Linked DNA regions of Notamacropus eugenii. The protein of the gene in region 3 purifies or fractionates together with the protein of the main gene of each other region. This does not show direct contact. Links are inferred from orthologs where the notes say so. Each region holds a gene or a part of one and is shown on either strand. Other genes may lie near its edges.

Region 1 (7,878 bases), about 570 Mb from region 3:
TCTCTCTCTCTCTCTCTCTCTCTCTCTCTCTCTCTCTCTCACACACACACACACACACACACACACACACACACACACACACACACACACACACACACACACACACACACACACACACACACACACCCCCAGTCCTCACTCAGGGTCAAACCCTCAAAGCAGGGATGCCTTCCTCCTCCCCCTCCACCAAGCTCAAAGCCAGAGCTGTTCATTCTTTCACCAGCTGTGCCCATGCCGTGGCTTTCCACTAACTTCCCTTTAAACCTTAAAGGGAGCCTGGTCGAATTGGCACAACTGGTAAAAGCAGGGGAGGGAACAGGAGGAGGGGGGCTGAGATGGGAAAGAAAGGGAGGGCGGGAGGCTGTGTGCAGGTGGCGGCAGCGGCCTCAGTCTCTTCCTAAAAGGAGGTGTGCCTGGGGCTTTTATCCCTTCCCATTGTGCAAAGGGGCCGGGGAGGGAAGGAGGGAGGACCCCGGACAACCCAACAGCCAGACCTCTAGGTTCCTTTGCAAAGCCTACTTCCAAACAAAGCTCTCCCACCCGTACTGCTGCAGGAGACTGGGAGGAAAGCGCCAAGCCAGACCCTTGGGCAAAACCCTTCTCCATCTCGGTGCCGCAGTTTCCTCATCTGTAATATGAGAGGTATTAGCCCAGAGAGTTATCTAAGGACCTTTCCAGCTCTGACATTGTGTGATTCTAAAGGCATTGTCTTAAAATGAGTAGGGGATTCCCTCCTCTAATGGGGCTGGGGGAAGGGATACGGGGGTTAGAGAGGCTGGAGAGGGGGTGGAAGGTTGTCTTCCAGGATCTGTCCGGCAGCAGACGACCTCTCGTACTTTTTCAATAAAAACCTGCCTGAGTCTGGACATATGGTCCCTCTGGCCTCTCTTCCCTACCCAGGGCTCCTTCTCAAAGCGACTCTGCCTGGAACGCCCCCGGTAGAGAGCCTGCCCCTATTGTCTGAAGTGGCCAGCAAAGTTCTGAGCTAGTCCTACGTTAAAATAATAATAACAATAATAAAATTAGAATAGGCACCAGGGGATTTGCTCCCAGCTCAAGAGTTTGGCTGAGAGAGTGCGGTACGGGTCTCCTTCCCTTAAAAGCGTGGAATTGGCACTGGGGGAAGAGGGTGCTTGGGGAGGGGGGGGGGGGGGCAAGGGGTGAGTTTTACCTTGCACACGAGCTCTTCCCCACTGTGCAGATGCACAGCCCGAAAAACGTGGTCTCCCTCCAGAGGTTCCAGCAATAAATATTTCCCGATGCAAGAAACGCAATGCGACAAGTTGGGAGCCTCCGGCGGGCTCGGGGAGCCGAGGTTGGGGCTGAAGCTCTGGCTGGGCTCGGTGGACCTCAGGGACGACAGCTCTTCAAAATCCTGGGTTTTGGTCCGCGGTCTCCCATAGCGTGAGATTGTGATCGGGGTAGATCTTTGTATGTTCATGAGGGTGGCGATCACACGCAAACAACAAAACCCGGTGGGGACGGGTTACACTCGCTGGCGAGTCCGGCTGCAGGCGCCTTTGTGTTAGAGATTAAAAAGGGGTGGGGGGGGAGTGAGGGGAGAGGAGAGAAGAAGAGAGGGAAGGGGAGGGGGCTGCGTGCAGGAAGAGTTAGGAATCCGAGGGGCAAAGAAAGAGGCGGCTAGCTTGGGCACCTCCGCCGCTGGAAAAGCGGGTCCCGGGGGCACTTTCTCCGCAGGCGGGCGGGTCGGCGAGCGGCCCCTTTTGTTCCCGGCACGGAACAACGCCGCCGCCGCCGCCGCCGCCGCTGCGGGCGATAGACTGAAACCGCCGTTCGATCGCTGATTTTTTTTTAATGCTTCCGAACGTGCGCGGCGAGGGAAACAAGGTAGCCGGCTTCAGAACGCAGCGAGCTGCAACGTTCCACTGCCTCGGGGGACCCGGGGAGGCTTCCGAGCCAGGCGAGCCCAGAAAGCCCGAGCTGCAGCAGTGGCCCGAGGGCGGGATCGCACCGGGGCGGCAGGGTCCGAAGCCGTGCGGTCAGCGGGCCCAGGGTGCAGGCTGCCCGAGAACCGTATTGAAAGGAAGGAAGGAAGGAAGAAAAGTCAAAGCCCAAAGAGCGTGGAAAGAAAAAAGAAAGCTGCAGCCTGCGGGGCTCCGCAACTCCAAGCAAGGCATACAGGACTCGTGGGGCCCCCTCCTCCTTTTTTTTTTTTTTTTTTTGGTGGGGGGCGTGGGGAGGCGAGGAGAGAAGTTGTCTACGTTTTGACTGTAGATGGCGTCTTCACCTTTTCCCAGCGAGAGAAGGCTCCCCTCAAACGCTCCAGTAACTAGCGAGGGAGCATTGAACTTGGGGCGGTCGGGCAGACGGACAGGCAGACCTGCGGGCGTGTGGACAGAAGGACAGACTGGCGGGCGGGCGCACGGCACGGCCAACAAAAGCAGCTTCCGAAGCGGCGCCTGGAGGCGAGCCTGGCTGCCCAGCCCACTCGTGGGGCGCGCAGCCCGGGGCGTCCTGGGCTGGAGAAGGAGAGCTCGGGGTCAGAGGCGGCTCATGCCGCTCCAGCTCTGGCCCCTGCCGCTGCCGCCTCTCCGGTTGTCCTCCACTCCCTGGAGCGAGTCTGAAAGAGGCGGGGGCTGTCGGCGTCCTCCGGGGCCGCGCCGGGGCTCTCAGCCCGGTGCCCGCACACCCCCCAGCGTGGGGTGGAAGAGACGGGACAGAAGGCTCGTCCTCCGGAGCAGGTTTCGCCCCGCTCTGGATCTCTAGCTCTCTCAGCCTCTTCTCCGCCCGGACACAAGCACGGGTTGCTTTGCCAGTCTCCGCGATGCGGGGCCGGGGCTGTTGTTCACGGTCTCCGGAGCCCAAGGCGGAAATTCTCGGGGGGAGGGCAATGGTAGGAAGGGGTCTTGACAGTTTGAAAAGAAGCAGGCGAGACGCTCGGCTGGGACTCTGCTGGGGGGCGGGTGTGAGGCTGCTGGGTGCAGAGGGAAGCGAAGGGGCACCCACAGTGCCCGGGGCTGAGCCCTAGCTCAAGACGCCTGCATCGCCGCCACGGGCCGTATTAATAGCTACTTACGTGGCCGGGAATCTCTTGTCTGACTGTGTCAGAGTGAGAGAGAAAGGGAGGGAGAGAGAGAGAGAGAGAGAAGGAGGGGGAGAGAGAGAGAGAGAGAGAGAGAGAGAGAGAGAGAGAGAGAGAGAGAGAGCCCGCGCGCGCGCGTGTGTGTGCGAGAGACAGAGAGACAGGAGAGACAGAGACAGAGACAGAGAGAGAGAGAGACAGACTGAGAGAGAGACTGAGACTGAGACTGTGAGGGAGGCTGTGCGCGCTCCGGTGTGAGCCCCCCTGGACGCGCGCACCCAGCAGTCTGGCTCAGCCTCCCCCCGGGGGCTCCCCAGTCAATGTCACCAGCACTGCCCGCCCCAGCCGCTCCGCGGGGCTTCCCAGGCATAAGGGGGCTGGCCTCGGCCCCGCCCCGCCCCCCAGCCGCTCGCCGTTCATTGAGCCGCCCGCCCGTCAATCAGTTCCAATGCGGGGGGGAGGGGGTATGTCACTGAGCACTCGGGTCGCCGCCGCCTGCTCGGGCTCCGGCTGGGGGCCCTGGACCAGCGACGTAGGGTCAGCCCATGGAGGTATCCTTCCGCGGGCGGCTTTGTGCGGGGCAGAGAAGGGGCAGCTGGGGATGCAGCGAGGCACACGTGCCCACCCCCGCTGTCTAGCGGGCGCTCCCCATACTGCTGCCACTGCAGCCCAGGCTGGCCACGGGGCCTGGCCAGCAGCAGCCTGCTGACCCCCTTTCTCTCCACCGCTTTCTTTCCTTCCCGCCTTTCCTTTACTCCCCTTGATCACCCTTTCGGGGTCTTCCCACCTGCCCTGCACCCCCCCACAGCAGACGTGCATTCTCGGCACACTTGGGTCTCTCTCCCCACCCTCTCATCTGCCCAGATGTGGCAGTGACCAGCCCCGTGGGGGGTGGGGGTGGGGACTGGCTGTATTTGTTCTTGAGGAAGGAGGGAGGAGAGAGTCAAGGACTGTGATCTAGCTCATTGCGTATTGGCACGCCCCCCCCCCCCCCCCCCCCCCGCGCTGCGTGGTTGCAAAGACCTGGGCCCTTCTCCTTTGTCATTTCTTTGTCATTTTCTTCCCCTTCAAAGAAGAAATCAGATTTTCTAGGCAGCCTGGATCGAGAAAACTTCCAGCCCAGGCTTTCTCTGCATAACGTAGGAAGTTCTGCCCCGGAGCTCATTTAAAGAAGCGCCTTTAAAAACCTTGGAGGAGAAAAAACGGAAGCAGAACGTTTGCATTACCCACAGAAGCTTTGCAGTGGATGCAGCCCCTGCCTCTTACCCACAGGCTTCGACTGCGTGCAGCGAACACTGTGGCTGCTGCAGAATTAGAGTCATTAATAGGCAGGTGGTATTCTGATTCTGCTCAGCTCCAGCCAGATGTTAGGCAAGGGAAACCCAGCCACTCATGCATCCGGGCTATATTAAGTGGCCACTAGGTATGCTAACTGCAGCCTGAAAGAGTGGGCAGTCAGAAAGACTGGAATATTGCAAAGAGTGCTTTACAAATTAGATCCTCAAAACAAGCTTAGGAGGTGGATGCTATTAGCGTTCTCTTTTTACGATGGGGAAACCAAGGCTGGCAGATTGATTGTCTTTCCCAGAGTCATATCTAGTAAGCTCCTGAGGCTACATTTGAACACCAACTCCAGCACTGGTTTCATTTCACTACCTACTCTGCGTTGTGGCCAGAATCATTTAACCAAGGTCACACAAGGAAAAGCATTCCTACTGGGATTCACAAACATCTTCGATTCCTCCCAGGCGTTTTCCCACCAAGAGACATAGTCTGGACTATATTACTTACATTCTTTTGACCTTGTATTTTTCACAACGTACTCCATCCCCACCTTAGAGATGGTGAAACAGAGACTCAATGAGCCTGTCCAAGTACCTTTCTCAAAAGGCTGAACAGTTCATAGAATCACAGATCTGGGGCTGGAGGAGCCTTGGAGTTCATCTCCTGTGACCCTTTTGGCCCCACCCACCAAGGGAATGTGACTTGCCTAAGAGCACTATTTTAGGCACAGAATCAAAATTCAAACCCAGCTCATCGGACCCTAAAGCTCTTATGCATCATGCCAGATGATGGCTCCTCCCTAGGTAAGTGTCTAAACTGGGACCTGACAGGAATAAATCAAGAGTCCCTAGATTTTCCTTCCTCCCTCTCTCCCTCCCTTTCTTCCCTTCCCCTTCCTTCTTCCTTCCTTTCTCTTTCTTTCCGTCCTTCCTCTTTCCTTCCTTCCTCTCTTCCTTTTTTCTTCCTTTCCTTCCTTTTTTCTTCCTCTTTCCTTCTTTTCTTCCTCCCTTTCTTCCTTTTTTCCTTCCTTTCTTTCCTCTTTTTCTTTCTTCGTCTCTTTCTCCCTTCCCTTCCTCCCTCTCTCCCTTTTTTCTCTCTTCCTTAAGGCCCTTTCAGAATCAGAGAAGTAAAAGGATTTGAGGCTGGTAAGCTTTCTCTGCTCACACTGGCTCCCTCTTCCCCCGAGGCAGATGGCAGATGGCTCTGTCTTATCTGAAAAGATGAAGGAACCCCTTTTATGGCCAGAGGTGACTGCAAAGTGGGATCCAAAGCCCAACATTCCCTGAAAAGTGCTAGGACCCCTGCAGCCCACAGTGATGTATGCTCCCCTAAGAGGCTGTCACACACTGCCACGGGTCCGGGAGATTTGTAGGGATCGGGCTTAGGACAGACAGACAATTCCTAACCAGATGACCCATTCAAGTGAGCTCCTTGAGGGAAGGGACCTTTTTTTTGCCTTTTTATGATTATCCCCAGCAGTCAGCACAGAGCCTAGAACACAGGGGGCTCTCCACAAACATTTGTTGAGTGACTGACACACCACAGAAGTCACCTTACTTCTGGGATCTTATGCAGACTAGGGCAAATAATATCGGTATGACCAACCCCAAGGGGCTATCATGGGGAGGAGGCTTTGAAGGTTAAAGATGTTAAAAGGGTGAACCTAGCTCCTTCCACTCTGGGCAGCTCTCATTAGGAGGTTTTTCCTCATATCAAACCTAACTGGGCTCTTCAAGCCTTCCCCCCTTTTCTCCTGTCTCTGCCCCCTGGGGCCAAGGCTGAGCCCTGCCCCATGTGACAGTCCGAGAACTTCAGCACAGCTAGTCTCCTCCTCCCCCTCTCTGGCCAGTCTTCTCTTCTGCAGGATCCAAATGTCCAGTGGTATGTGAATGTTAGGGAGAGGTGCTGTGTAATGGAGAACAAGAAACCCAAAGAATCAGTATTAACTTGGGAAAGCCTATAGGACCTAATGCAATGAGAACCATTTACCCAGTGACCACAATGCAAGCAAAACATCCCTAAGAGGGAGTCGAATTCAGATGAATGCAATGACAAGTCTTGATCCACAAGACTGGTAATGAAACTCAGTTCTGTCTGTGGTGGTGGCTTCCAGGTGTGGAATGCTGCATATACTGCCAAAGCTGATGCGGAGCTTTATTCTTCTTGGATGTTTCTCTTTTTAATTCAGAAGGCTACTAAGAGGTATTGGGGTAATTGGAAAATGTCAGTTGTGTGAAACAAAACATGGATAAAATATTTTTCAAATTTCATGTAAATTTAAAATTTTTTCCCCCTGTGCCCACCCCCCCCCCCTTATATTTAAAAAGAAAAAAGAAAAAACAAACCCTCATAAGAAGCAGGCATAGTCAGGCAGAACATCTCTCTTCACTGACCATGTCCAAATATATACATTTCAATTTGCATCTGGAGCCGATCACCTCTCTCTTAGGAGATCCTTAGCAATTATGAAAAATTGCTTGGCTAGGAGTTCTGAAGTCCTTCACAGTTTTAAAATATTGTTGTATTTAAAGAACAAACAAATGTGACTCAGACAATGACCAGAAGACAACTGGAAGAAGAGCCTACAACTTGGTCTGAAAGCAGGACACCGGTGTTCTTGTCTTTACTAACCTGTGACCTACCACGGACCTTGAGTAAGGAACCTTCCCTTTTTGGTCCTGTTTCCTCATTTGTAAAACAGAAATAAGGGCATTTGCTATTTATCTAACTGGGCTGTCATCATACTCATGCCCAAACTGGTAGTGCAGAGGTGTCAGCCAGACCCCTGCTGTACATCCAAAGTCCTCCCATGCCAGCTCCCAGACGTGTTTCAGCACTCAGTATCATCTGTGATCTCATTCACACAGATACTCCCACCAACACCAACTTCACTCCCCCATGCCAGGTCATCCTGGTGACTCTTCTTCATATTCTACTGTGGCTCCTCCCTAAGAATTCTGGGTGCATCTCCATAGAGCATGAGGGGGCTGCCCATTATCCTTTCCTCTTTAGAGAGGACCCCCTCACTCTTCCCTAAAGTCATGAATCTTTTGAACTCTGATGACCCTTTGTCCTTCACACCATGTCAGGCCACTTCTCCCACTGGACTGGCAATGTGGAGCAGCTTGCTCCCACTCATCATGTCTCTCTACTTCCTTTTGGCACTGAAGACCACCAGACACTGTTATATTTCTGTGTCCTGTGATTATGTCAGGGGCTCAGGGCCTACAAAATTCCTCCACATAACCTTGGTTTGGGAGGAGTCAAATAGAGTCAGGCACATGGAAAGTATAAAATGTAAGTGGAAATACTTTTCTATGAGTTCTCATGCCCATTTTCTCCATTGCCTATCCCCTTCCTGCCTCTAAGTCACACAGCTAGTAAGACATGGCTGATAAGTGTTTCCAGACAGATTTGAATTCTTCTTCATGATTCCAAGCCTGTACTCTATCCACTGCACCATCTAGCAGATTGGACCAGATGACTACCAAAGTATCTTCCAGCTTTTAGGATTTTATGGAATTTCACAGGACATCTCTAATTGCCTCATT
Region 2 (7,670 bases), about 440 Mb from region 3:
GAATGCTGGAACACTTGCATGGAAATTATCTCCTCTCTTCTCCTATTCTCTTTCTCTTTCTGTCCTTCCTTCTTCCTTTCTCCTTTCTACTCTCCCTCTTCTCCTTTTCCTTCCCTTGACTACCTTCTTTCCTTTTTTTTTTAAAGCAAAAGTAACTGCCTTTGACTAAGCTGAGAAGGGATCTGTTATGGAGGATGGTGCAAGACAAGGATCCCTGAACTCTGGATAACAAATTTTGGGTCCTGGTGCTACCATATAAAGAGGCAACTGATGGATCAGTGGATAAAGCACTGGGCCTGGAGTCAAGATGATCTGAAATCAAATCTGGCCTTAGACACTTACTAGTTGTGTGACCTTAGTCAAGTCATTTAACCTCTGTTTGCCTTAATCCACTGAAGAAGGAAATGGCAAACTGCTCCAGTATCTTTGCCAAGAAAACCCCATGGCCAGCTCTGGCTAGCGATGAGATGGTCCACAGGATCATGAAGAGTCAGGCATGATTCAACAATAAGAATACTACCGTATAAAACCCCTCTAGTCATTTGATCTTAGGCAAAAAATTTAAACCTGTAAAATGAGCATCATAACACTCACAAAACCTGAGAGTTAGCACGGCACAGTGGATAGAGAGAAGGCCTCTAAGTCCAAAGATCGAGGTTCAAGTCCCATCTTTTACACAAATGGGTCATGAGATCCTGGGCAAGTCATTTCATCCCTGTCCCAGGCAATTCTCTAATGTGCACATCTATATAGGTATAGGATGTTTCCTTATTGATATTATCATAAACCAATAAAATCAAAGCTTTGGTAAAAAAAATGCTTGTAATTTCGACTTCATAGGGTTGTGGTGAGGAAAAGACTTTGTATGCTACAAGGCACTACAGAAATGGAAGTGATAGGTCCCTGTGACAGTCAAGGAGTCTAGATTCTGTACGTTTTATTTATTCACTCTCTTTATAAGAATATCACCCTTTATCAACATCTCGGGTTAAATATTTTGTATTGACTTATCCTTGTCCCCATCATATCTCTAAAATAGAATGTGAACTCCTTCAAAGCAGAGACTGTTTAGTTTTTTTATCCACAGCCTGCAGTACAGTGCCTTTCCTATAGTAGGTACTTAATAAATATTTATTGAATTTAATGTTCTAAAGTAGGAATAATTTGGTGACCCTAAGAGGGGGCATTGTACTTAATGCTAGACCATAGGGTGGGTGGAGCGATTTGAGTGAGTTTGAGGTAGTCTTTTTTTCCAGCAGGTCCTTTCAGGTATAGGACTGGCTAGTACTCCTGACTCTCCACCAGGAATGAGAGCTTCTCTCCTAAGCAACCGACTCCAAAGCTGTTTGTATTTAACCTCCAAATACCCAGGAAGAGTCCTGTCCACTTGGAATTGAGAAGGCCTGGTGTACTTTAACATTTAGAGTTGCATAATCATGGGTCATGACTGTCCAGTCAAGAGCCTCAGAGGCAAACAAACCAACAGTGATGTGACCCATCATTTCAGCCAGATTCCTGATTATGGTGAAGAACTTGCGGAACTTTCTGGTGTGGAATAACCTTAGGGAAATTGGGGTTTTTGGTAGGATTTTGTCAGGACATTAGTTTGTTGTTTATAATGAAATCCAGGTGCTGGATAAGCTCCTTGAGGTCAGGGATTTTCACTTTTTCCTTGTTTCCCTTGCACATAGTCAGGTTTATTTGATAAATGACAGTTGATTGACTAGGCAGGTAACATGTCCAAGGTTTCTCCAACAGGCAGGCTAGAGAAGATTAGCAAATCTGAGGAACCTACTCTGATCCAGGTTCTTTCTGCCTCTTTGGCTCTTCTCTCCAAATGAGACCACCCTACCACCAAGACCCAAATCAAAACCCAGAACATGGTGGGATAGGCACACCTAGATCAAACAGAAGGAATCTCACTAGAGCCACTTGGGAAGTGAAGTGTGAAATGCACTAACCCCCCTCACCTCATGACTGTTCTTTCCCAGGGTAGAAAGAGGTCCTACCTACCTCATTGTGCCACCGGATGACATTTCCAAATCCCCCAGTTCCAAGCCGTTCTTTCATTTCCCAGGACCCACAAGTCTGCATTTGAAGAGAAGGTGGCCAGCTCATTCTGAAGTTACTGCTGTGGGAATTCAGAGGAGGATCAGAGGAAGAAAAACAAGACCCCTTGGAGAGATGGAATGGGACAGAGGATTCTTGCCTTTGGGTGTGAGTGAGAAGGAAAAAGTGTGTTTTTATTTTCTTTTAAAAAAGAAACTCTTCTCTAACAAGTTCTTCAACACCTCTCCTACCTCTGTTACTCAAAGAGATCCCTTGATTGCCAAAGGAATCCCCCTAAGGTGCCATTTAAGACTCCCTTCCTCTACTTTCCCTGGATAAAAAATTTGAAAGTCAATTTTTTACTTCCTGGGAAATCACATACGCCTTTATATGGTATGGAGAGCCTATGAATGAATCCTCCTTCCCCACCATGCCAAACCACGCACTTCAAATGGATCAGTGGGGGAACCTACACCAGCTGTATTTTCTCTCTTTAGGCTTTACAGCAATCTCCCGGATTTTAACACTCACCAACCAGGAACAAAACAGAGTGGGTGGGCAAAGCAAACTTCCAGAACTCAGTAGAAATTTGTTTCCAAACCTCCAGGAAAGGACAAACAAGATTGATTATCTCCCTGGATGTCAGGAGTAGTGACCAAGGAGAGGGACAAGAAAGAGGTCACAGCTGGTCCCACCTTAAGCCACCTGTCTCAGCTCAGGGTCCCGGGGGTTGGGGGGTGGGGAGAAGTAAGGGGTGAACTCACCTGCCTGGTGGTTGGGGAAGGGGGAGGCGGCCCTTGCCAGGGCAGGGAACAGGGAGGGAGGCGGAGACCACCTGTAGGGACTTAGGTCGGTGGGTGCCCCCCCAGACCACATCAGGGTTCAGGGACCTGGATTAGACAGCCTGCCTGCTAGCTCTAGACTTCCTCAAACACTTCCTGCTCTGATGTCAGCGGGCCACATGGCGGGGGACGGGCAGGCTCTTAAAGGGGCCACAGGGACCCGAGGAAGCCTTCAGCTCCGGGCTTCTAGTGTTCTAGACTGGACATCCTATGCATCCCTCCAACCCACCTGACTCTTCCAACAGTGGACCCCAGCTCCCAGGATTTCTCAGGAAGATGTGTATTGTTCTAAAAATTAAAACTAAAAACCCAAAATCCGAGGGTGTATATTGGGGGGACAAAGGGGAAGGACGGTCCTTTCTCAGTATACTCTGGTACCAAATCCCAGCACCCCCAAGCAGGGAATGAATGCAACAAGCCCCAGGCCCTTTCTTAGACAAATGAAACTGACTAGCAGCAGGTTCTGGGAATGGAGGCACTGATGGGGATTTCCTCAGCCTTCCCACAGCTGGGAGGGCTCTTTCTGTTTCCTCTGACACTGCATGAGGTGGAATTTTTTCTGGGTCCCTGCTTAGGGTGGATTGGCTGATGATTTACAAGAATTTGCCATTACCACAGTGTCATCCCCCTTAGAAGTCAGTTATCCCTCCCTTCTTGAGGCTCTCTTCCTTTTATCTGGAAGGATCAGTCACAGTTAAGCCCCATTCCAAAGGAAATTGCCACCGTGCCAAAACTAAGAAAGAAAGATAAATTCAAAAGAGTCCTGGAGGAAAAGTCAGAGAAGATAGGTCTGATTGAGTCAGTTCCTTTACTCTTCTGCAATAGCTGGATGGCTTGAACAAATCAGTTCCCCTCTCTGAGGTTCAGTGATCTATTTCTTCTTTTAAAAAATGACAGGGTTGATCTAAGGGGTGTTTAAAGTAAGTTCCTTCTTGCTCTTACAAAAACCTGGTAGTGTTGCATTAAAAGCCAGTGTTTGAAGCCCAAGGAGTATGAGGAAATTCAAAAAGAAATTTAACCTTGATAAAGGGAGAAGCAGCTTGCTATAGAGGAAAAACCTTCTGTCTAAAATTTCTCAGGATTTAGAACTACCAATATGACTGTGGACAACTTACTTGAGCCTCAGTTTCCTCACTCATGCAATGAGAGCATTGAGCTAGATAATTTCATCCATCTATCCATCTATCCATCCATCCATCCAATGTACAAAGCATTGTGCTTAGGTAGGTGCTAGAGACACAAAGACAAAATGGGAAACAGTTCTTTCCCTCAGTTTTCCCAACATCCACATTGGTGAATGGTACATTGTTTTAGGCAGACTCTAGACAAGTTTCAATTTGTCATGGGAATTTTTCATTTCCTATTTATTTGGGACTGAGAACCATGCCCCCAGCAAATTTTGGTTAACTGAAAGTCTATATTAATTCTCGTGACCAAAACCTGTCCCATGGGATATGGAAATTTACTTAGAACCTTGTTATTGTTCAGTCATATTTGACTTGTAAATTGGGTTTTCTTGACAAAGATACTGGAGTGGTTTGCCACTTCCTTCTCTAGTGCGTCCATATTTTATAGATGAGGAACAGAGGCAAATAGGAGGTTAGTGACTTGCCCAGGGTCACTCAGCTAATAAGTAACTGAGGCCAAATTTGAACTCACAGTTTTTTGACTCCAGATCAAGTGCTGGAGCCACTGAGCTGCCTAGTTAGCTGCTTAGCCCTTAGATCCTTAAACATTCCTTAAATAAGAACCCAGAGAAAGATTCTCAACTGTCTCTGAGTTCTTGGCCATGTAAATCTTCCTCTTTAATCAGTTTATTTGTAAATCCTCTAAATGTAGTTTAATCTGTATTCTGACTTAGTTTACTTATAGAGTTTGTTTGAGGAGGTTTGTTCCCTTAGAGGATATACGAAATTATAAATGTTTAACTAAGTGTGTTGAACTTTTATGACATTGAAGGGAGCATGGCTCTATTTTCTCTTTAGCTTTTATGACCTAAATGTAATGTACACTATTACAATCTGAAAATGAATTATTCCTCAGTCACTCTGACATAATTTTGCCTATAAGAAGCCTTGTCAGAATCCTAACGATTGTTCAGGTTTTCTCTGAGGCCTGATCTAGGCTTGAGCATCATCAGAAAACCTAGGTTTTTAGCTCTATATTTTCTGCTTTGTGGTAAATATATATTTGGCAGCAGTTAACCCACCACATGAACTTAGACAGATGTTTCTCCTGTAGCATCATTCCCTATTCCCTGACCATCTTTTCACCCAATAGCCTCTCTTCTTTGAGTATACTATATTTTCCTTCTCTCTCCCTTCTACCCTTCTTCAGTTCTAGAAGCATGACCATGTCAACTTAGCCTTCTTCTTGCAAAGGGTACAGTATTCTAGTCCCCTGAGTCCCTACCCACCATCTCTATAACTTTACTGATCAAAGTGCCGCTTCCTGGCTACACTGCCCCCAGTGTGTTGTCTTTCCCTATTGGTCTGAATTAGAGTGTGACCTCCTTGAAGGCAGGGACTCTCTACTTTTGTCTTTCTATCCCTATGCACCTGAGTGGTACAGTGGATCCGTAGATGGAGCTCTGGGCCTGAAGTCATGAAGACCTGGGGTTACATCTGGCCTCAGACACTTACTAGCTATGTGACCCTGGGCAAATCCTGTAACCCTGTTTACCTCAGTTTCTTCATCTGTAAAATGAGCTGGAGAAGGAAATGGCAAACCACTCCAGTATCTTTGCCAAGAAAAACCCAAATAGTCATAAAGAGTCAGACACAACTGAAAAACAACTTAGGAGCTGTGTGATCCTGGGCAAGTCACTGGTCTGCCTACCTCAATTTACTCAGCTGTAAAATGGGAGTCATAATACCATCACCTCCGAGGATTATTGTGACGATCAAATGAGCTAACATTTGTAAAGTGTTTGGCACAGTAGTAATGGGAGCTTGATGAACACTTGTCCCACTTCTCTCTCCCAGAGTTTGTCCAGCACCTTCCCCTCCCCCTCCCCACTCCTCCTTAAACTGGTAGGTTTTGTAGGTAGAGTCAAAGACTTGGGGTTTAGGGTTTAGAAGATCTTAGTTTTAAATCCAACTTCAGACACTGATGAATTCTGCGCAGGTCACTTAACTGTTTAGACTCAGTTTCCTCAATGGGGATAATAACAGCACGCACCTCACAAGGTTGTTGTTTACAAAGCATCTTACAAATATTATCCCATTTTATCCTCACAACAATTCTAGGAGGTAAGTGCTATTTTTATACCCATTTTAGAGATAAGGACATTTAGAGAAACACAAAACATCTGGGTTGCACAGCTAGTAAATGTCTAAGGTGAGATTTGAACTCAAGTATTAGCTGTTGTACCACCCGACTGCCTAATTTATATGTAAAGAAATTGCAAATCTTAGGTGCTATATAAATATTAATGATACCAGGTATCATTAATAAATGTTTCTCTCTCCCCCGCCCACTCATTCAAAGAGCTCACACTCTGTTGGGAGGGATATATTTAATCAGATATGCAAAGAAAGGGACTAGATATGTGATTTCATTGGTACAGAGAACTGGTGGACAAGAAAACTTCTTCTACAATAAAGTTTAGCCCCTTCTCTGCGTTTTCCAGTTTTAAAGAGATGTGTAGGGCACCAATCTGTTCACAGTTCTGCAGCAGTATGTGTCAGAGGCAAGGCATAGATAAATAAATACCAACTATTTTGGACCGGGAGAGAACACTATCAACTGGGATAGGAAATGACCCATGAGTTGGTGTTCACAGAAGTTAGAGAGTCTAAAAAGTACCTGTACTTTTTAGAGATTTGGAGAGAGCGAATTCCAGGCAATGGGGGGATGGCCCGTAAAGATCACAGAGATGGGAAATGGAATATTATGCTGGGGAAGCAGGTGATTTGATTGAAACCCAAGAGAACTTGAGAGGAAGTAATGTGTAATAAACCTAGAAAAGTAAACTGAAACCAGGATGTATGAACGTCAAAGGAATTTGTATTTTGTTGGAAAAGCAATTCCTTCTTAAATAGGGAAGTGATGTGCTCCAACCTGTGTTTTAGGATGGTTATTTTGACAACTCTGTGGAAAATGCATTATATGGTGAGAAAGTCAGGGAGAAGAATTAACCATTGAGATAATTCAGTAGAAGAATTATGAGGATCTGTACAAGAGGTGGTATATGTGAGTGGAGAAAAGTGACTGGTTGGAGAGATGTTTTGGAGGTGGAGTCCACAAGATTTGACAACTGATAAAGTATGGATCAGGGGTTTGCTGGGTAACTGATTTTAACAGTTTTCTAAATCTGGGGCGCACACTTTTAAGGCTGATCTGCATTATAATCATTTTCTCCTTTACTTTCTCAAATCTAGGCAATCAGCAAAACCAGATTTCCAGTAAATGCTCAGTTGCTTACTAGCTCAGATATGTAATATTTGCCAATTTCTGATGTGTCAATGTTCAGACATTTACTAGTTGTGCGATCCTGGGCAAGTCACTTAATCCTGTCTGCTTTAGCTTCCTCATCTGTAAAATGAGCTGGAGAAGGAAATGGCAAATCACTCCTGTATCTTTGCCAAGAAAACCCCAAATGGGGTCATAAAGAGTGGGACAGAACTGAAACGACTCAATAACAACGAATGTTCACACTGAAAATTTAAACAGTCAGTTCTCTCTGGAGCCTGTTAGAGCTAGCTCCAGGACACATTTGGTATGGAGACTGCAGGAGAGAGAAGAATTGAGCGACTTCACTATTCTGACCCTGATTGA
Region 3 (6,849 bases):
TTGTATCTTTTCTAGCCTCCTTATATATTTCTGTGAGGGATCTTTTTCCCCCCTAACAAATTGTGGGCAAAAGTACCTGGGGAATCTGCTGTGATCAATAAATAATGACTCCTAATAAAATCATTATTAGTTTGGTATAATCTAGTACTTCTAACGTGCTTTAAAATAATGTTTCCTTAAGTAGGTTAACTTTACATTATTCATCTCTGGCAAACCCTCTTACATAAAGGGAGCAAAGTTAAACCTTAGCCTAGATCTCAGATAAAGCACAACCAATATAAAATCAGGAGTACAGATAAAGTTTTACTGTAATTAATCTTCTCTAAACTATGTTCATAGTTTAAAGTTTGTACAAAAATACCAATTTCATTTTTATTTGGGGGGAAAAATTTAACTATTAAAATACGCAAACTACAAAATCTGTGCAAAAGTGGTCTGAAATAATTCATAACTTGAGGAAAGGAATGAAGGAGGAGAGAATAACCCTAGATATTGTAAATAAATTTTAGTTAAAAAGAGGTTCTTTTTGCGTACTGATTACCCAGGGAAGAGTATTTGAGACTACTAGGCAGCTCTGTGGATAGAGTGTTGGACTTAGAGTCAGGAAGACCCAAATTCAAATCTAGCTTCAGATCCTTACTAGTTGTGTAATCCTAAACAAGGCACTTAACACTTGTCTGGGTCAGTTTCTTCACCTGTAAAACAGAAATAATAATAGCACTACACCATCCCCCAGGACTGTAACGAGAATTAGATCAGATGATGTTTGTAAAGCACTCGGCAAGTTTTAAAGTACTATGTAAATGCTAGCCCCTATCCCTGTCAATGTCTATGAACATCCTTCAGTCAGCTGAGTTGGTCGACGTAAATAAGCACCATGCAGGAGATAACAAGGAAGAATAAGAACAGTCTGACTGAATTCAAATAATGCCCCAAATAGACCCAAACCAACATTCTGATGGGGCCATCAGAGATGTTTTGTGGAATAAAGTGGTTATCATTCTTGGTCTTAACTTCACAAGGTTACAAGTGTCCTCCAAACATTTACTAATGCATTCTAAATAATGTTATAGATCACCCATAAATTTATCTAAACATTTCTTGAATCTATTTGTATTTGAGTTCTTTTGGGGTAACAAATTTCTTAGCTAACATAGTGTGAAATTGTCTTTCATCTGTGCTAAAATTGCCCTCCCCTCAAGCCAACAAGTATTTATTAAGCACCTACTTTTTGCCAAGCACTGCACATCACTCAAAGTTAAAGTGAAACCACAGAAACTATAGGATTTCTGAGCTGGAAGACACCTTAGAGATTTAGTCTAGTTCTCTATTTTACAAAGTCAGTGAGGCTCAAAGCTCTAGCCCACCATTCCACAGTACATAACAGAGCAAGAATTTAAAGTAAGGTCTTTTAATAACTCTCCTATGGAATGATTCCTCTAATTCTAGTAAGCAGAACATTGGTGATTAAGTTCATATCTAGTATACTCACATTCTTCAAGATTTTGTAAACACAGAGTCATTAAAAGACCTCAAAAGTTAACACAAGTAAACAAAGATCTCATAAATAGGGAAATGAGGTCAAAGAGTTGACTTACCCAAATTCATGTAAAAGACTGTTCAACTGGAACACTAAATATCTAGATCTCAGTCCTCTGCTCTAGCATTTAAAATATGTCTCTGTTTTCTCTCTTGGTGACTACTTGGGCTTCCTTTCAGACAAAAGCTATGGCTGGTAGTGCCAAAAGAAAGGCATCAGAAGCTGAGTCCTTGTCTATAGAGCTTTATTATCCCTATAGGAAGTGACTCAATCTTAATATTATAAGGTACTCTGACAGGTATAAAGTAAGATATGGTCAATCTAGTTCAGATTTATAAGTTTAATTTAACTCAGGTGGCACAACTCAAACATAAGTAACTCCTTGGTATAGAACTGAGACCAAGTAGTAAAGAATGTTCTTGCACTGCTGCCTAAAGTAGATGATCTCATAATATGTGTTTGTGATCTGTAAATTATATTATTCCATAAATCTGGTAAAAATGTCTTAAGTTGATAGAAAAATTCTATCCTCTAAGGAGAAAATAGAAACTAAGTGACTACCATCTTTAAAGACTAGAAGCTGTCCATATGTGTATATGAATAATTCCTGCCTTGTAAAATAAAAATAAAGCATCATAGGCTCATAGATTTAGAATCAAAAGTGGGCTGGGAGTTCATTCTAGTCCAACCCTTTCTCTGTAAACAGATGGGAAAACTGAGGTCAAGATTGCCCAAAGTCAAACAGGTAGTAAGTTAGAAGAGCCAGGACTTCCACATCCTCTAACTGTAAATACAATGTTCTTTTCACTACCCTATGCTACCTCCTAAATCAAAGATTTTTATACCTGATACAGTATTCAAACTTTGGGTAGCAATTCAAAGAGACACTTCAAACAACTGATTTCTATATTCTTAATAAATTTTTAATTCTGGTCCGTAAAAACATTAATTCCCATCAAATGAACTTCCACCAAATGATACAAATCACTTAGAATTCATTCTTGGAAACAAAACATCTAGATTGTTTTGACCTAATATTAACTCAGTAGCTATTTTAGTTTGCAGTTGTTACTGTATTCCAGGCAACACTGGAAATACCAACCATTCATTCAAAGAATGGGGTTAGGGGCTGTCATTATTCCAAATTCAACTCTGAAGAAATTGGAAACTTATGCAAATAGTATTGATTTCCTAAAGACCAACTGGTAAACTCAGATAAAGTCTATGTGTATTCTTTTTCATTATCACTCGCTAGCAGTAACTACAGAGTCTGATGACATCACTGAAGTTTTGTATGTGGGAAAGCCAAGGGCAATCAGATTAAAAGCCTCAAATGCTAAACTTACTCAAAACTGACCAGACACTAGCAAAACACAAGTATAGCATGATACAAAGTTACAGAAAAATGTAACAATATCTCACACTCTCTAATGAGTACAGAGATCTAGCATCACTTTTCCCATTCCACCGTCCCACTGCTTTCTCTTCAGTGTCTCCCAACCCCTCTCCACTCCCGCACTCCCATGTCACTAATTCACTCGGCGACACTTAGGGAGACTCTCCACGACCCAGTCCTTTCCGAGACTGCCTTAACCTTCCTTGCCTTTCCTCCCACGAGTAGGCATTTGCCCCTAACCTTAGTGGCCTCTAAACTCTTCCCCTGCCCCTGACCTTGTTCTGGTCAATACTTGGAGACCATCAACTTGTTCTGTTACAATATTAACCCCCCGTCCGTTCCAAAGTAGGAGAATCTTGCTCGTCCCCTCGTCTCCTCTTAGGCTGGCTCAGGCCTCCCCAGTCCCGGTGCCCTCGTCTCTAGTGGCCTCTCGCCCCAGCCCCGGGAGCCCGGCTTCCTCCCCGCAGCCCCACTGCGTCCGGCCCTTCCCGCACTCGGCCCCCAAATACCTGTCCGCCCCCGCAGCGGCCGAGAGCCGCCCGCGCGGCGGGACAGACAACGGCCCCCGCCCGCCCTCGCCTCCGCAACCTTCCATTTCCCCAGGAACTGGCCCGCTCTGTCCTTCCCCTCCGTCGCCCCGCGCGCCACGGGCAGCCCCCCTCCGTCGGGACCCCGCTGTCACTGGGACTCTCCTCCACAAGATGGCGGAGCTGCTACTCCCGACCCCCCGGGCCCAGGCCCCCAGCTCCCAGCCTGCCCGGACCCTTCCGGCCTCCGCCGCCCCCGCGGCCGCCGCCGCCCCCGGACCCCAAACTCGCTGTCCCCCTCTCCAGACAAGCGGCCCAGGCCCAAGCCGCAGCCAAGAACGACGCGGCTGCTACTCCCGCCGCCGCCGCCAACGCCGCTGCTCCCCGGCCCGCGCCTTCTCCTCACCATAAACTTGAGCGCCTTCTCCTGCAGCACCGCCTCGGCCGGGTCCATAGTCACCGGGGGCCGCTGGGTCTCACTGCTCCGCCAGGGCCGCCCCCTTCGTGCCAGGCCGCAGCCAGCGCAGCTCCCGGATCCCGCCTCCTCTTCCTTCCCCCCGCCCTCTCCCTACCTCTCCCGGCGCCGGCAGGGGGGCAAGGGAGAACCGGCTCAGCCGCGCGCAAGCGCGGGCCCGCGGGCTCACGGGATATGTAGTTCTCGGCCTGAAAGCAGTATAGGGCGGGGCAACGAAGGGAACTGAGACACCCGCCAATCCCTGCGCTAGGCCAGCTCTGCTATTTCCCTACGAGAATTGGTCCGAGGAAGTCCACCTACCTGGAGTTGGAAAAGGGACTCATGGGAAATGTAGTTTTTCAGTTTCTGGGTAGCGGAAGTGCACTGTCACCTTGGTTACTGTGAGAAGCTTAGGGAGTCTGACTTGGGATTTGTTCACAAGATGGCGACCATGTCACTTTTACCTAGCAGCAAGGGGTTAATCACAGACACAGAGAAAGGTTTTACCAGAACCCTGCGAACTGAGGTTTAGGGGGGCTAGATACTCCCCAAACCTCATAGATCTGTCCTGTATCCAAAGGATTGCTATCCACTGGAACTCAGCTTGTGAGCAGGCTGCTGAGTGCTTTGACATCCCTTGGTCTACCTGCCTAAGGCCTTTCCCACTCCTTGTCCAGAACTCATCATCTTGCCTGCAAAATTCAGGCCTCTGTTCCCGAAATTAGACAAGATCTTGCCATGGGAACTAGCCTTCTAGTTCTGGGAGACCAGACCTGACTCATGACCTCTCAAAGCTTACAGTTCTGGCCCAAAGCCAAGCTTGTGAAATATCTATGTGGTGGAAATAGGTAAATTACAGGAAGTCAGAGTTACAGGAATTTTTTGGGGGGGCTAGCTAGTGTTGAATGTGGTTTTTAATTCTGGAAAAGCTTCATTTTGGAATTTGGTTCTACCCTAAAACAAAATAATTCCACCTGAAGCAAACCCAGGCCTAACACTGACAGGACATATAGATATTGATTAATATTTACAGGCATATTGATGTATAAATTTACAAAATAGGTGAATTAAAGCATGAGTATGTGGGGTGAGGTGATTAATAGTCACTGATCCACTGGACGTTTCCCCAACTCAACAACTTGATAAAATTTCAAGGCATGAGCCTTTAGAGGACTCTTAGTAGAACCTCTCCATGGAGAATGTAGGCATACCCACTAGTACCTTACTTAAGGGACTCAGAACTAGACCCAGTACCTAAAGCTGCTGCCAAGATGATTGGCCATCTGGAATGTAAAAAGACTAATTTTTGTAGAAGAAGCTTCTGGTCTTTGTCCTCTATCAGTTCTGCCTCACTTAAATCCAATTAAAGTACCAGTCAGGTCATCACCCTGTGATGTCATTGGGCCCCTCCAGAATCTACGGACAAATAATAACAATAATAATTTAAAAAAAAAAAAAAGAACTGACAGACCCAACAGCTCACTCTTTCAGGCATTCTTTTTCTCCCATCTAGAAATAGGTTAGTGTACAGATATAGTCCTAGGGGGAGGAAAACTATTTTCTGTATGTATCCAGGAACTAAAAATGACTGTCTTGGGAAAGAGACAAGTTGTATATTCTTGCTGGTAGCTGGAAAGAAGAGATCCTGAAAGGCAAGATTCTCAACCCAAGGTGACAGCAATCAGCATACTGATAGATTTTCTGTAGAAGCACAGGGTAAAAGCAGACTAGTGTGCTTACTCAAAACAAAAGTGCAGTTCATGGACAATGTTCATCAACCCTAGGCCCCTGTGTGGCAGGTGAAAGTGGAAGAAAGGAAGGAATTCTCCAGACTGACTATGTAATTTCAAAATCTAACTTTCTAGCCAAAGAATAAGAGTTCTCAAAATTTTAATTTAGGACTCAGTGCTTAGGGCATTTCCTAAAACTGTACTCTTAGAGGGAAAAAAAGAGTATTACCCACTTACCTGAATAGCATTCTACTTGGAGAGTAAAACCAATGAGTTATTTGTACCACGCAGGACTGATGGAAAAGGGATTGCTTATTTAGCAGCCCCCAAAGTGTACTTTCTTCCAGCGGACGTGCCAAACAACAGTGTGCCTTGGAATAGAGAGAGATATGAGACATCCCCTTTACTTGTGGAATAAGGCTAAGTCAAGCAGGCAGAATAATAAGCAAATAAGAAACTGACAAAATGTTGGCCTTGCAATAAAGTCAAATATGGCAGGGCAGAACAGAAAATCCACAGAAAAAATCATTGGTTTAACTGATTATGCATCCAAAGGAAAATATATGAGAAAGCAATTTTTATGGAATGATTGGGCAAATACCAACTCCAAGGGGGTGAAAAGTGAGAGAAGTAGATAGCAGCACATAATACTTTTGAGGTATTTGACATTTTCTCCAGAGACCTTAGCCTGAGTTCTTGCCACTCCATTCTTGCCCACATTTGCTGCTCTCTTTGTGATCAAGCACTTCTCTGAGGGAGTATCGTTTAGGCATCAAATTTACCCGTTTAGAGACCAAAGTCTATTCTCTAGTTCCTTGTCTATGTTCTGCCCTACAACTTCTCCCTGGAACATAAGTTCATCTTTTTAATACCAATATTAAACTGATGTATGTACTGATGTATGTTTGAAAACCATAGAACATTACTCTGCCAAAGAACTGAAACTGAAAATAACCTGAAGAGGCATATGAGGGATAAACATGGCTGCCAGATACCACAAGTAAAGGGTCACCAAAGAAAAGCTGAGTTAGTTATATTATAAGTGGGGATAAGTGATAGACAGCCCTTGAGTTCCACTGGTATCTTTGTGATGTCAAATTGTAGCAGGTTGGGTATAGCTGAGCCTGTCCTCACACCTCCACCCCATCCCCAACCCCAGCCATGGCAAACATAGGGCAGGGACAAAAGTCCTATAGGATGGG
Region 4 (7,728 bases), about 65 Mb from region 3:
TCCTTCGTTGCCAAAGAAGACCATGCCATCAGAGAAATGAGGACATGACTTGCACTTGACTTCGTTTTGAGTGAGGGAGGGCTGTGCAGATCACCAGCCTCACTTCTCCTTCAGAGCCATCTGAATCCAGTGACCAGATATTTATTAGGATGACTGGAGATGACCCAGGATGAAGCAATTGGGGTCAAGTGATTTGCCCAAGGTCACACAGCTAGTGAGTGTCAAGTGTCTGAGGTGAGATTTGAACTCGGGTCCTCCTGACTCCTGCACTGCTGTTCTATCCGCTGCCCCTAAACTTACTTTATCATTTTTGTAAAAACACAGGTTGTATTTTTATGTGACACTCCTTAATCTGGTTTGTATAAAAACCTCAAAGCATCCTGTATTTTCACCAAGTAAATGTTGACTATTATTACTTTAACATTTTATTCATAAGTATTTCATTTTTCGGGGGGCTACTCAAATTTGAACCAATATAGTAGCGTGGACATGAAAATTTTCATGCCATTCAATGGTTGATCAACAACTACTATTTAAGTGGGTCCTGCTAATCCTGAGGATCAGAATTAAATTTATCTCTCCAAACTCTAAAAGAAGATTAAAAAGGCAATAGCCAGATTTTTGTACTGTCAGCTACCCAGCAAACTGAGAATCCAAGTTCCTTGAAAGCAAAGGCCTAGTCACACTTTATTTGCATCTTCTCCTGTGGCCTCTTACAGTAAGATCCACAACAGGTACTCACTCTACACTTGGTGTTGGAGCATATGCTAAGTTGTTCTTTTAGCTCTGACAGTATGGTCCTAATGAAACGCCAAAGTAATTCAAATCTATCAGAAATGTAGCAGGGATTTCAGCTCTATGAAAAAAGTCACTTTTAAAGATCAAAGCAGGGTTAAACAAAAGAAACCAGTTGAAAATTTTTAACTCTGTAAACCTGATTATCAAATTTGCCTGACTTACAAGTTTCTTGAGGGCAGAAACGATTATCATTTTCACATAGATGCAACTGCATCTTCAGCAACACAGAATCCTGCTGAATGAAATGTTTCCCCAAAGGCTCTGAGACCCACACAAATGAACTAGAACTAAGTTATAAAAAACCAAAAACGAACACTTCTAGAATCTGTTCAACTCACAGAGACCTATAAGTTGTATTTTTCAAATTCAGAAAAGCTACTTACAGCGTTATGGTTCAGAAAATCACTTCTGTATTAGTTTCCTTTTAAGAAGTGAGTTATAAATCATAGAATTTAAAGCTAAAAGGTTACCTAGCTCAACCTCCCTCATCTTAGATATGCAACAACTGAGACACAGTAAGATTAAGTGACTTGAGGGTCACACAAGCAGTAAAGTAGAGGAGAACTCAAGCTCAGAAACCCAAGGTTCTGACTCCAAATTCAATGCTGCTTCCACTGTAGTTAGCTGCCTCCAGAAAGTTTGAGGTTTCTGGTACTTTAATTAAAAGTATGGTCTCATCCTTTCCAAATATAGGTTATATATTGTGTGTCTATGAAAACAAGGCTTAAAAATGTGCTACCAGTTAAACCTGTGTTCACTGTTTTTCATGATTTTAGGGACACCATTAACAAGTGGTCACTGAATGTTTTAATCTATTTTCAAAGTTTTCAATGATTATTATGTTTCAATTTAATGCAAAACAGAAAAAAAAATCATTAAGATCTTACTGGGTTTTCCACCACTGCACATTCAGCAAAGAAAAAAAATGACCAAGCAACTTGGCAGAGCAGGCAGTTTGGTGATGCTCAGAAATATCCTTTAGTTTCTATACACTAAGCAATGAAAAAAACCCACGAAACTCTCATTTAAATCAAGGCTGCAGTTATACTCCTCTTCCTCAACCTCTTATCCACTGTAAAGAATGTTTCCAAGCAAATGGAAACTTCCCATCGTTTCCTGAAGCTCAAAATACAATCTGAGCCACAGGAAAGGAGAATTCAAAGGGAGGTAGTCACCGGCCTGGACAAAGCTCCCCGCCCGAGAAAGAAGTTAGCGGGGAAAGCAGTCCGGAGGCAGAGCGCCGGCCTCGGTTTTCCAGCTCACAATCGGAGCATTGTCTCAATCTAAACAATAACGCACGATTTCTCTCCCATTTTAACAAGCGAGAGTGCAGAGTGCGGGATGAAATCGTGCCCCCCCTACCCAGGGCACGGAAAGAGGTTCGGGTCGAGGGCAGAGGCAGAGGCAGGCCGGGCGCCCCCTCCCCCACGCCGGGCCTGCGAGGATGTAAACAGATGCCTTCCTGCCGCGGCCCCGGCCCGCTCCCCGCGGGGAGGCCCGGCCACGCCACGCCACGCCACGCCGCGCCGCCCGGTCAGCCCCGGCGCCCCCGCCCCCACCTCCAAGTTGGCTCCCGGCTCTCCCAAGTAGTTGCCTTCCTTCGGCTCCCTCCGGCCACCTCTTCCCTCTCGCCGCTCGGCCCGAGGCCTCCGCCCTCTCCTCCCGGGCCCCCCAGAACTGCGGGGCCTGCGCCGATCAACAAGTGGCCGGGGCCTGGCCTGGCCTGGCCGCGCCGCCCCGCCCCGCCGGGCCTAGCCCCGCTCGGCCCCCGCCGCCGCCCGCCTCACCTGGATGACCTCGTTGACCTCCCGGATACATTCCACCATGTGCTGCAGGATCTGCTCGGCCGTGAGCACCTCGTAGCGGTAGTCCTCCTCCTGCTCGTGCCCGGGGCCGCCCCCGCCGCCGCCCCCGCCGCCGCCCCCGCCGGGCCCCAGGGCGCTGCCGCCGCCCCCGCCGCCCGTCTCCCCGCACAGCAGCCCGTCCCGCTCGCCCCCGACGCCCAGCCCGGGCTCCACCAGCTCCACCTCGCCCAGGTCCAGGTTATCGTCGTCGGGCTCCTCGTCGTCGTCGTCCTCCTCCTCCTCGGCGCCGCTGTCCTCCTCGCTGCACTCCTCGTCCTCGTCGAACTCGTAGTTGTAGCCCTCGTCCGAGTCCATGGCGCGAGGGGGGCGGGCGGGCGGGCGGCGGCGGCGGGGCGGGGAGTGGGGGGAAGAGCCCGGGCCTGGCCGGCTCCGGCCCCGGCTCCGGCCCCGGCGGGCGCGGGCGGCGGCTCCTCCCCGGCCGGACGCTGGGGGCCCGATCGGCAGCGGCGGGAGGTGGTGGCCGGGGGTGGGTGGCGGCGGCGGGGCTGGTGGTGGCGGCGGCGGCGGCAGCGGCGGCGGGGAGGAGAGGGGGAGGGGAGGGAGGGGGGCCCCGCTCGCCTCGGTCAGACACGGCTCCGCTCCGGCCTCCGAGAGAAAACAACCCCCAGCGCCACCACCACGGCCGCTGCTACCGCTACTGAGCCAACAAAGGGGCGTGCGTCACCGCGCCGCTCTACGTCACCGCGTCCCGTCACGCCGCCTCGCCTCGCCCCGCCCAGGAGGCGCGCCCCGCCTCTTCCCGTCGATCACGGCCCCGCCTTCTTCCCCGGGCCGGAGACGTGCTGCGACGGCTCGCCGCCTTCTCCGTGGCCCCTGCGCGGCTCCCGGGGAAACCCCGACGCCCCCGCGGCCCTTTACCTTCCTTCCGGTTTAATTTCTCCGCGCCCAGACTGTGGAGAGCGCACGCGCGCGCGCGCGCGGGAAGCGTCTCCGAGGCGCCGCCATGTTGGCGCGGCGGGCGGTGCCACAGCCCTGGTGGAGTAATGAGGGGCGGGCGGCCGGGCGAGAACCGTTGTCATGTGCGTCGGTTCACGCCCGTTCCTCTCTCCTCGGCTCCTACGAGTGGAGGGAGTGACCAGCGCCCGCGGCCTGACCGACCTGCGCCGCCCACGCAATCCCAAGGCCGCCGGCCCGGCTTCCCGGGGCCCTCTACTCCCCGGGGCAGATGGGTGGATGAATTAGCGGGGCGGTCGAGACCCGCGGGCCGGAATTGGGCCTAGCCTGCGCCCCCCACCTTCCTCCCGTCCTCCGACCGAGGGCGGCATCACCTCGTAGGAAAGAAGCCTCAGACCGGGAAGAGACTTAGGAAGGCAGCTTTGGATCGGCCTGGCCTGGAGCCGGGCCCTGCCCGTCATCACCGCCTAGGACCTCGTGCGACAAGTTGGATTCCGCGTTCGAGCATTGATCGGCGCCTTTGCGATGCCGAGACGACGGAAAACTGCCCCGTGTTGGGGGAACTCCCATTCTGCCTTTGGATCAGGATGTGGACCCTAATAGAAAGAGTCTACTGTATACAGTGGAAATTCTGGGAGGGGAGAAGGGGTCAGGAGGATGACCCTCCTGTGGGGTGGGACGACTCAGCTGACCTCTGAAGAGGGTAGCGATTCTGTCTGGGCATATAAGTTTATGCCAGGATCGGGCACAGCTGCTACGGCATTCACATGGTCTTAATTTCATGAGGGGTTAAAAATTGGGGGTTTGTGAGATCCTTTAGAGTTCTAAATCCAGGATCCCCTAATTTGTATGCATAGTAAACATTCAAAGTGGGGGTGTGGGTAGCATAATAGAGAACATCCCAGAAGTTTTACGTGCCTAAAACTTGAGGCATGCTGTATGTTAAGTAGAGCTCCATCCTGGAATCAGAAGACTTGTGTTGGAGTTGTGATTTTTTGTTACCCAAGCGAGTCATCCTTGCCCTTCTCTGGATTTTAGTTCTCTCAACTATTAAATGAAGGAGCCCCGTTGATTTAGTAGTCCGCATTCGAGTTCTACATTAATGTGATTCTGGGGCGCAACTACGGGACCCATTTTCATAGCAGCACTGGGTTGGTTCTCACTTTTTTCTCTCCAGTGTTTGCCTAATTATTTTTACATCTTGGACACCCCAGGAGAGAAAAAGGAATAAAATTGTGCCAGCTTAGAAGTGTGAAAGCTGTCAGGACTTCAGCTTTACTTATTCCTGGATATTGGTATTGCTGAGATCAGCGAAGGATTCATCAGATTGCATCAGTCCTGAATTATCTTCCTTTTTAAACTCCACTGTAAAATTGATCGTCTTTGGTAGAAGCTCAGCTGGTTTTGATATCGTTGTTTACTGTTATACATCCTTGGTATAAGAAGCTTGAAGTAAGAGGAAATACTTTTTTTAAAAAGTTACTTCCATAATGGGTTAAGCAATTCACTTCATCCTAGTGTTGACCTGGGGTCATGTGACCATTTCCTTGCCTCCAGGCCAGTCTGAAGTAGAGCCTCAGAGATGAACTAATTGTGTGTGTTATTACTAACATTACAGTCTGATGCCAGACTGAAAAAAATCTGGCAAGTCGAATTTGACAGTTGTTGGCTTAATACTGTGCAACAAGTGAGCCTAGCACCATGTAGCTGACATAATAACCAAAACGACTATCAGACTCACTAAATTTGAAGGTTTGGCCACTTTGACTTCATTCTTATAGATTTACCCCAAATCACTGAACTATCCTCTGTTTTCTAGGGTAGGAAATTATTCGATCTTCCAGTGTTTTACCAGAATAATATGTTTTCCCCAGTATTCCATATCGTATATAATTATGAACTGTGGCTTTGGGCCTCATATTCAAAGATAAACCTCTGGGCCCTGTTTTTTAACTCTGGTCTGGATTCAGGTTGAGTTTTTGCTATTCCAGGTAAACCAGTTTAACAACTACTCTGACCACAAACAGATGACCCACATATGTTATTGTTTTTTTAAAGTGACTGATATATCAGGTGATATATCAAGGTGGTGCCTATTATTTCTAAGCTGTGGTAATTGTTGAATATATCAATCATGATGCATAAACAACAGGATGAGGGACCCATGCCATAGACAACAAACAACTGATGCTTCCTTGTCTAAAGCATCAGTGTCATCTGAGAGATGAGTAAGGCAGCACACTGATGGTGCACCCTGAGCTCTGCAGTCTTGGGAAAGACTTTTGTCTCAATACACCTTCTATGATTCCTTCACAAGAATTTCTCATCTTCCATCTTAAATCATGATTTAAAACTGACCAGGCTTTTTAAAAGATTTAATCTGATATTTTGCAAAGTAAGAACTCTAGAGAGACAAACTTGGCATAGTGGAGAGACAACCAAGCTTCTTGAGTAAGGAAAACATGGGTTCAAGTCCTACTTTGGACATGTTTGGTTGCTGTGTGGCTTTGGACAATTCTGAGACTCTTAAGCTATAGAGCAAATGCACATCTGGTTTAGGAGAGGGAGTGTCCTTACCAAAAGATATTGCTATGCCAATGAAATCACAATTCCAGTTAAAAATAGAAAAGACAACACCCAAGGATTTCTGGTTTTTCCAAGGCCACAAATATAAACAGCCTTTACCTGCCTAGAGCTTACTACACAAGTGCTAATGAGAAGTACTTCTCAGATAAATAGAAAACAAAATGCCATAAAAATTCTTCTAAAAGCAGATAATAGAAATAATAACCTCCAGCAAATCCAGAGCACTGCAATAAAACTCCAGTCTCCCCAACAAATTTGAAAGAAATAGATGAGTACAATTTTATTTAAATATAAGTTGGGCTTAATGCAGTTTTAGAGGCATAACATGCCAAGATTATTTCAACTAATGTTTTGTAATGATATAATGAATACATTATTACCTGGCTCTGCCATAAGGTATCAAAACTTTTTTGTAAATGTTGCTGAATCTAAAGCTAGCCAGAGCCAGGAACCTTTATTATTTGGGTCAATCATAAAATGCTCACTTGGTATGATTAGGATAACCTGTATATCTGCTCATATGCTGGTGCTTTTCATTTTGCCCCCTGTGACTTTCTCCCAGTTCAGTGTTAACCAAATACCCTTGTCTTGCCTTATAAGACATTCTAGAATCCAGTTGGGAAGGGTTAATGTTCTTGTTGGGAGATGGAAACTCTGTTACCAGTTTTAAAAATTACATAGTTTTCAGACTGTGAAAAAAGTAATTTAAGTTTAATAGCCTAAAGCTTGGCTATAGAATTCATAAATGCTATTTCTCATTGTTATATTGAGGAGCAGCCAGAATTGTAGAACTTCATAGTTATAAAGGACCTCAGAAACTGTCTAGTTCAGCACTTTTGTTTATTGTTGTGTTTGTCCTTCATTCTCGAAGAGGACCATGACGTCAAGATGATGACATGACTTGCAGTTGACTTTGATTTGAGTGAGGCTGTACAAGGTCACCAACCTCACTTTCTTCTCACTTCTGTTTGTAATATAATGGTCAAGTGGTCATCCAGTCTTTGCTTGAAGATCTACTTTTGGGTAATCTTAATTGTTCAGTTTTTCCTTACAGCTAAAGATCAGCTTCTTCAATTTCCTTTCATTGGTCCTAGTTCTGAACTTTGGGGTCAAGCAGAAAAATTGAATCCCTTTTTTGCATAGCAGCTTTTCACATACTTGAGGACAGCTGTTACCTACCCTCTTAAGTCTTGTCTTCTCTAGTCTGTCCTTAAATGTGATGATCTTGGAAACTCTTCACAATCCTGATCACCCAACTATGGGTGCTTTTATCATTACCTTTCTAAAACATGACACCCTGAATGAACACAGTATTCCAGTGTGGTCTAACGGGGGTGGGGGGGACACCCTGAATGAACACAGTATTCCAGTGTGGTCTAACGGGGGTAGGGGGTGGGCAGAGTACAATGAATATCACTCCTTCCCTGCCCCCCCCCCCCCCTTTTGTATGCCATGCATCATCTTATACTGTCCAAGATCACATTAGCTTTTTGGGCTGCTGTAGCTTACTTATCTGGAACATTCAGTCTGTTAAATTCCTGCCTCTTTTTACTCAACCAATATTTATTAAACATTTACTATGTGC

Evidence for each region.
Region 1: the proteins of BTRC (region 3) and TRIB2 purify together in Homo sapiens (affinity purification with western blotting; 3 studies listed by BioGRID and IntAct, with this or other methods). This does not show direct contact. The link is inferred for Notamacropus eugenii from reciprocal best matches to the Homo sapiens genes BTRC and TRIB2.
Region 2: the proteins of BTRC (region 3) and IKBKB purify together in Homo sapiens (affinity purification with western blotting; 3 studies listed by BioGRID). This does not show direct contact. The link is inferred for Notamacropus eugenii from reciprocal best matches to the Homo sapiens genes BTRC and IKBKB.
Region 4: the proteins of BTRC (region 3) and ARIH1 purify together in Homo sapiens (affinity purification with mass spectrometry; 3 studies listed by BioGRID and IntAct, counting the BioPlex papers as one, with this or other methods). This does not show direct contact. The link is inferred for Notamacropus eugenii from reciprocal best matches to the Homo sapiens genes BTRC and ARIH1.

Annotation. Positions count from the first base shown.
Region 1 is NC_092872.1:751,839,393-751,847,270, reverse strand, and holds the start of TRIB2 (tribbles homolog 2), read right to left. Parts: upstream 3,009-7,878; 5' UTR 1,442-3,008; coding exon 1,172-1,441; intron 1-1,171.
Region 2 is NC_092872.1:618,298,704-618,306,373, forward strand, and holds the start of IKBKB (inhibitor of nuclear factor kappa-B kinase subunit beta), read right to left. Parts: upstream 3,009-7,670; 5' UTR 2,814-3,008; intron 2,132-2,813; 5' UTR 2,119-2,131; coding exon 2,014-2,118; intron 1-2,013.
Region 3 is NC_092872.1:179,423,886-179,430,734, reverse strand, and holds the start of BTRC (F-box/WD repeat-containing protein 1A), read right to left. Parts: upstream 3,017-6,849; 5' UTR 1,609-3,016; coding exon 1,599-1,608; intron 1-1,598. UniProt on the Homo sapiens protein: Substrate recognition component of a SCF (SKP1-CUL1-F-box protein) E3 ubiquitin-protein ligase complex which mediates the ubiquitination and subsequent proteasomal degradation of target proteins. Recognizes and binds to phosphorylated target proteins.
Region 4 is NC_092872.1:244,700,880-244,708,607, forward strand, and holds the start of ARIH1 (E3 ubiquitin-protein ligase ARIH1), read right to left. Parts: upstream 3,009-7,728; 5' UTR 2,958-3,008; coding exon 2,586-2,957; intron 1-2,585. UniProt on the Homo sapiens protein: E3 ubiquitin-protein ligase, which catalyzes ubiquitination of target proteins together with ubiquitin-conjugating enzyme E2 UBE2L3.